Linked DNA regions of Rattus norvegicus. The protein of the gene in region 1 interacts with the protein of each later gene in a pairwise test. Links are inferred from orthologs where the notes say so. Each region holds a gene or a part of one and is shown in the gene's direction. Other genes may lie near its edges.

The links.
Region 2: the proteins of Xrcc4 (region 1) and Aplf interact in binary tests that used the Homo sapiens proteins (3 or more experiments, as listed by UniProt). The link is inferred for Rattus norvegicus from reciprocal best matches to the Homo sapiens genes XRCC4 and APLF.

The regions. Positions count from the first base shown.
Region 1 is NC_086020.1:22,905,253-22,908,899, reverse strand, and holds part of Xrcc4 (DNA repair protein XRCC4), read left to right. Parts: intron 1-1,930; coding exon 1,931-2,106; intron 2,107-3,647.
Region 2 is NC_086022.1:121,677,063-121,681,313, reverse strand, and holds the start of Aplf (aprataxin and PNK-like factor), read left to right. Parts: upstream 1-1,381; 5' UTR 1,382-1,591; coding exon 1,592-1,687; intron 1,688-4,068; coding exon 4,069-4,140; intron 4,141-4,251. UniProt on the Homo sapiens protein: Histone chaperone involved in single-strand and double-strand DNA break repair.

The DNA.
Region 1 (3,647 bases):
CATTTTCATACAAGTCTACAATGAACTTTGATCATATCTACCTTCATTCTATTTTTCCTGCTTTCTGATGTTTCTCTTCTTTCTCCTCCGCACACATTTTTCAAATCTAGATTTCACATATAACAGAAAACATGCAGTTTTTTTCCAAAGTTTAGCTTATTTCTCTTAATTGTTTGCTCTCCTGTTTTATTCCTTTTATTGTATTGTATACCTTTACCATACTTTTTTAATCTACTCATTCACTGATAGGCAGTCAGGCAGATTCTTCTGTCTATTGTGAATAGTAACTACTGGATATGAACCTGTCCCTATTTTATACTGACTGATGCATTTGGGTATTTACCCTAAGAGTGCTTTAGAATGATCTATTCTGTTTGCAGTTTTGGGGGGAAGTGGAGATGCACTGCTTTACACCCCTATGAGTGATGTTTAAAAGTTTCTTTTTATACAGTTTATAAGTTTAAGTTTATACAGGGTCATCTTTTCCGCAACTACCTCTGACTAAGTTTCCATGATGCTCTCCAATCCATAGCCCTCTTTTCTTATGGCCTGTATGGTTGTTGTTGTTGCTGTTGTTGTTATTGTCAGTAACCTCCTGTCTCCAGTTGATCCTCAGCATATACATGCTAAGTAAAGGTTTACTGCATCTTTACCAACTTGTGTCGTTTTTCTTTTCTTAAATAGAGCCATTCTGACTGTGGGATGGAGTTTAATTGTCGCTTTGGTTTTAATTATCCCGTTGAGTTAGGAGGATATTGATCATTTTCTCTCAATTTATTTGAGTACTATTCAGTTCATTTGTACATTGATTAGGTTATTATGTCAAAGTTGGTTTTTCTTAGCCTTTATATTTTAAGGATACTAATTCCCCTGAGATAAATTGCTTGCAAATGCTTTCTCTCATTATCCCAATTTTTCTGTACAGTTTTTTAGTGCAGAAGCTCTGTAATTATGTGTACTCCTTTTGTAGTTCTCCCAGTTAGGTCTTGAACTATTGCAGCCCTACTCAGAAATTTCCTGTTAAGCCTATATTTTGAAGTATTTTCCTCATGAATTCATCTCTGTCTTTCCAATTTTTTGTCCTGGTATTTCCTGAGGACGGGTATGTTGGACATGTATCAACTGGGGCTGTGGACCCTACAGTCACTCATTCTTTGCAGTATTACTGATTGTGGATCTTCGTAGTACGCCTCTGCCTACTACAAACAAGGTTTCTTTGATGAGAGCTGAGAACTATATTTATCTTTGGAGATAAGGCACTTAATACAGAGTTAGAAGCTATATTGATTTAGGGAAATGGCATTAGTTCCGAGAAAAAGCCTCCATGTCAGGACTGGTTCAGTTCTTCCAGTCCTACATTAGAAGTTATGCAATAGCATCTCACTTGGAAATTGTAGGACTGCAACTAAGGACATTGGGATATCTCATACTTTGGGAGGATCTCTAGAACTCTTGACCAAGAGCATGATGGTTTCCCTTTTGTGACACTGGAGTTTTTGTTAGGTAAGCTGTTATTCCTGCATAGAGGAACTATTACCCACGTGGCATAAATCTGTAACACACACACACACACACACACACACACACACAGTTCCTAATTCTGAGTACATAGTCTGGTATAACTGCAGAAGCTGGAAAGCAGAGGGGATTAGAGACGAAGACAGTGAGCTCAAGAGATGGAGTGGACACAGGGGCTTCCAATGGGCAAAGGGGGGAAGTTTGGGTGCTTACCTAGGGAAGAGGGGAATGTGTTACAAGAGAGGGAGGAAAAAGATAAACAGCACTAAATGTATCTGCAAAAAACTACTGGGAAACATTTTATTTTATTTCTTCAAAGTTCTGTTATATTGGTTAAGTAGTTGTAACAGTTAAATCCATATTTTCTAATAGAACCTTTTGATTTCATCTCCTTAATTAATCTTTCCCATAGTTTCTGAATCGGAGATTGCACAGGAAGCTGATGACATGGCTATGGAGCAGGAAAAATACATGGATGAGCTGAGACGGGCACTGGTGCCAGAGTCGGGAGCAGCTGGTGCATACAAGTTCATCTTTTCCAAGGACACTCAGCATTTCTCCCTGGAGAAAGAACTGAAAGATGTTTCTGTGAGTAGCCCTTCCACGTTTGTTTTCATTGATACATTTTGTTTCACATTTCAGTAGCAGGTCCTGGAACAACTCAGAAATAAATACCAAGAAATTGCTTGGGATCCTTGTTAGTATGCTTCAATTTTTATAAAGGAAATCATATGTATAAGAAGTGTTTCTGTGAGGGTGTTGTCTGTGTGTGTGTCTGTGTCTGTGTACATGTGTGGGCATGCATGTCGTGTGGCCATGGCTGTGTGTGCCATGTCCCATGTGTGATGGTCATAGCCTCAGACTGTCCGCCTTGTTAGCAAGCACTTTTACCTACTACGCCCTCTCACCATTCACAATGTTTCAGAGTTAAAGTTGATGACATATTTCTTTCAACACTGCAAAGTAAACACTAGGAAATGTATTTACTCATCACTATTTAAAACACTTTAAGTACTGTATAGTTAATTACACGAATGAACAAGAGTATTAGACCATTGCAGCCTGGCTTTCTCAAATTAAGTTTGGGAAAATACAGAGTTTTAGAAAGAAAATATTAAGTTTATCTTTGCCTATTTAATAATTGATTTATTTTCTTTCTTCTAGTATATTTGAAATTTTATCTTATTTTAAAAAATTTTAATAATTTTTTAACTTGTGTTGGTGCCTTGCCTGCATATGTGTCAGTTCCCCTGGAACTGGGATTGTAGGCTATTGGGAGCTGCCTGCCACGTGGGTACTTGTAATTGAACCTGGGTCCTTTGGAAGAGCAGCTGGTACTTTTAGCCCTTAAGTCTTCTCTCCAGCCTTTTATATATGACATTCTAAAACAACATAGTTCAGTGTGGTAATACATATAATTAAGGAATCATGATTTACATTGTCCTACTTAAAAACAGTAGAGCAGAACTAGCTTTGTGTCTGAGCTTTTAAAGATTGTGTGCTTTCTAGACCCACATAATCTGCTACATGGCTCAGTTTCTGCACCAATTCTGACTAAGGAGCAGCTAGCTTAAAAGTTTGTGTTCACTCTCTTTACAGCCTCCCTAAATTAAATTAACATTAAATTCACTTTTGCCTTTTGTTTATTAATCATATGAGATCCACACCATAAGAAAGGGAACTTTATCAGGTTCATTGATAGTAATTAAGGAATTGGTTCTTGTTTGTCTGTTTTGTTTGCTTGTTTTGTTTTTAGTTAAATCTAATTTTTAAATGATTTTAAAACAATCTTTTAAACTCAATAGTACAGGAGATTTATCAATCTGAGAAGTATTTCAAGAAATAACTAAAATTATTATTTTCAAATATATTGTGGGAAAATAATATAGAATGACTGACTCTTGTAATTTCATTTACAAAATATATATTTCTATTCACTGTCAATACATGTTTTTTATTCTGTTGAGATTATTCCCATAATAGCTTAAAATAGGTTGGTTTGAAGTGACACATTCAGTTTAGTATCACTTATGTTCTTTTCTGTGGTCCAAGCTCAGTCAGATGACATTAAATGCCCTTATAAGTGCGCCTGCTTCTTCTCATATTGCAAAGTAGAACTGGTCAAATTA
Region 2 (4,251 bases), on another chromosome or scaffold:
TGGCTTTTGGCTTTTCATCCAGCATGGGATCACTGAGGAAAATTCTAGTCTCTTAGGGCCCACTGCTCTGAGAGTCAAAACGAGGGTCACAATGACTTTTTAACTTCATTTCTGCCAGACTGGTGACAAGGTGGTCTCTTGGGGGAAGAGATGACCTTGTTGCCCCATGGAGGCATTAGGTGATCAGACTCCAGCCCCATGACAGGATGACCTCCTTCCGCAGAGTCATGCTGTGCAGGCCTCAATATGGAAGAGAAACCCTGAAGGCCTTGCAGAGTCTGTTCTCAGTCACAAGAAAGGAAAAAATCTTAACAGAGCAGTGCCAGACTCTGGGCCAGGCTTCTTCCAAAGAGAAAGTTCCCTGTGGCTGGAAGCCCTGAGCTTAGCAACTGACTTCTCCATAGAAAAGACCACCTCTGCCCTCCTCCTCCGCCCGAAGGTTTGTGCCAACTCCCCAACTCCAGATAGACTGCTTCCCCCAATCCAGGCCTCCACCAAAGGGAAAGAGGCCCGCTACAGATCCCAGCCAGAGAACAGGCCTCCTCTACAGAGAAGGAAGATCCTCCGGCCCCATGGGCCACGTGCCTAAGGCAGGCTTCTGCCTTTGAGAAGAGAAGACTCAATTGAGCATGGGGCTCTTGCACAGGAGAGTTAATGACCCTCGAGGCTGAACCCTAAAAGTCTAAATCCAGACATACTCCTTGGGGTAGGGAGGACAATCCTATCATTAAAGCCTAATTTAGCTGAAGCCGTTTCCTTATGGAAGGAAAGGAGAAGAAACACATACACACACCATACTCCACTGGGAAAAGAACATCATCCTGTTGAAGTCACAGGGCCACCAGGCCAGCACTGTGGCTATTTATTTATTTATTTATTTATTTTTTTCCGGAGCTGGGGACCGAACCCAGGGCCTTGAGCTTCCTAGGCAAGCACTCTACCACTGAGCTAAATCCCCAACCCCGACTGTGGCTATTTAAACACTCAGGCCAGGGCTGGTGAGATGCCTCAGTGGGTTAAGAGCACTCACTGGCTGCTTCTTCCAGAAGTCCTGAGTTCAATTCCCAGCAACCACACGGTGGCTTACAACCATCTATAATGGGAATCTGATACCCTCTTCTGGCATGGGAAAGCATACAGAGCACTCACATATGAAATAAAACAAACAAAAAAGATGTAAACACTCAGGCTTAGACCTCATAACTATTATAGTTCCACCCCCACACCCCTGCGCAGAGATGCACGCATTGCCTTTCGGGATTGGTAGTTTTTCCTATGATGACTGCATCCCGGAAAGGAGCGGAAGGGAGTTGTTAGAGACTACAAGACCCAGAGTTCCATGAGTCTTGTGGGAGGAAGCGCTGGAAGATTGTGGGTGTGAGTTACAGTTTTAAGCTGTAGTTTGGCGGTGAGCTGACAGGTAATTCCTGCACGAATCACAAGCTCTCAAGAAGTAGGGATTCCGGAAAGGGAAGAAGTTCACTCACTAGAAAAGGAGCCTCGGGTCTCACACCCCTTTGGGACTTGCGCGGCGTGTCTGAGGGAGGTGGCTACGAGGTATCTCCAGGCGAAGGAATCTGATTTTACCACCATGTCTTCGGAGTTCTTTCTGCATCCTCTGGACGGCGGTCCCCGCGTGCCCGTGGGGCCGGGGCAGACTGTGATAGGCCGCGGGCCGCTGCTGGGAGTAAGTGTGGGAGGTACTCCTGGGCGTGGGCAGCCAGAGTTTGTTCGGCTGAGGCTGTCTCTGTCTCCTGTCCTTGGGAACTCCACACCTTGACTCTGCTTGTCAAGACTTTATAGGTTTGGGGCAGTAGGTTTTCAAGCAACGTTAGTCAAGTCACCGACATTTCTTTTTGGTGCCTGGAAAACGTACGGAAAGAGTTAACATCATTATCCTATCCAGCTGGCAAACTGGGGCCAAATCCAAGTTGAGCTTAGGGTTATAAGATGTAGAATGTAAAAAGACCAAATAAACAAAAACGCTATTAAGTATTTAAAGACGAATAGTACTTTAAAGGTTAACGTGTCACATGTTGACCTACAAAGCTTACCCTATTTACAGTACCGTATGGCCCATCACAGAGAAGGTTGATGGCCAGTGACCTCCCCTAAGCTAACTTCTTTTATTCCCTGGCCTCTTTTGTGGGGCCGATGGGCCTTACCAATAATAGTAATATTCCTTTTGGTGATATCAGAAGCAATCGTTAAGTTGTCTGGGTAGTGAAGCAGTCATTATTCTAAAGAGATACTTTAGATTTACTACTTAGATGCTTTCTATTAGCCTCGTTGAAATGAGGAAGTTGGAGTTTAAACTGGTCACTAAGGTATAATATATTCTTTACCTTCTTTGGGAAGAGTAGGAACCAGAACATTTCCAGTTTGCACTATGAAATTATATTCGCGTTGCCATAAGACATAGCATTTACAAAGGCCACTCAAGAAAACCTGGCGATCTAGTTAAAATATCACAAGGGAGAGATGGGTTAGCCATTAAGAGTCTGGAACTTCTTACAGAGGATTGAGTTCCCAGCAGCTATGTCAGGCAATTCACAAATGCTTGTAATTCTGCCTCTCTGGGCACTGTACATACATGCCTATCCTGACACACAGGTATGCATATATAACAAAAAATAAAAATGTAAGAATTAAAAGAATTTCTGTTTTAAAAATCTGTGTGTATTTCCCACCTGAGCGGTATTTTCTGTTTTCTTGCTGCCCTGTTTCCTGGTTTCTTTCTCTTCTTTCCCCATTATCATATGAGTTTTGTGCTCCAACATAGACTGTCAGATTGGCGTTTCTGTCTTTCTTGTGCATCGTCGCTAAAGTGTTTTGTAATCTCCACCTCCGGATTGGGCTTTAGATGTTGATATGTTTTGCTCTAGCTGTTGATTCTTGTGGGATGTGTTGGAATGTTAGACTTTAGGTTATTTTAAATATATTTGTCTTTAAAGAGAGGATCTCACTACGTAGCCCAAGCTCCCCTTGGACTCAAATTTTTCCTGCCTCATTTCTCTGAGCCGGGTTTACAGGCACATATGTACCCAACGAAACCACTTTCTATTTATTTTTTATTTTTTATTTTTGGTCAAGAGATGATGTTTGTAATGAAATAAACCATGTGTCCACCAGAGGTCACACTATACTTTTGTATTATTCAAGATATCCTTTTCTTCCTAGTGTTAGGCATACTTAAAAGATAGATCTAAAAGATCTGTTATTGTTTATGTGGATAGTGTACAAAAGGAAGGAAGTGTACAAAAGATGGACTGTCAGAGGGACCGTTTTTCTATATGAATGACCTTACATGGGTCTAGTCATGTGACTGTTTTCTCACATATACCCTCTGTTTTTATTCGTAAGGATCTTGAACACTGCATATTCTGAGAGTGACTGCCCAAGTTACCTGCATCCTCTGGGCTTTCAGGATCCAAATATGTAAAATGATTAGTAGTTGCTGCTGTGAGGTAGGAAGGACGATAGTTTCCAGCATTTAAAATATAAGCAATTCGGAACATCGTTGTGGGTGAGTGATTGTGAATTGAGCATTACTAACCCAAAACAGGAAGTGATCATATCGAAGACATAGAGGTTGTTTTCCTCCTGCCTTTTTTTTTTTTTTTAACTGCCACACGTGGTCCCAGAACAGAAAAACTTTTCAGCCTCTGTCTACCCTTATGGTCACATCCTTCGGATTTACCACGTAGTTTAAGACAGGCTGAATTTTTATATTTGAAATGTTTCCTAACAGTACATATTGTATGTTATTTCTCTTGTTTGGTAGATTCATTAGTAGGAATCCTGTCTAGGAATGTTTCATGTATGGGAACTGGAGGGTTTGGGGCTGCATAGACTGTAGGCTTTTCTGGGTGTCATTTACTCTTCCATGATGTCGGTAGGTCTCCCCTCTTCACCACTGTGTCATCTGTTAAATGAGCGCAGTTATTTGACATGCAGTTATGAGTTAATAATATATGTAATGTCTGACCTGCTCGTCTCATACGCATTGCTAAGGGTTCGTTTATTTTTCAGGAAGCGGCTCTATTTGACATCTTTTTCCCCTTGTAGATAACAGATAAAAGAGTATCCAGAAGGCATGCCATTCTTGAAGTGGTTGATAGTCAGCTCCGAATCAAACCAGTGAGTATGTTGATCTCTTTTAACCCTTGGCCTCTTGCCCTTCTAGCAACTGACTGGAGAGGCCTCAGGCTTGGCAATAGGGAATTTATGTCAGAGCCCATTCTCCTGATA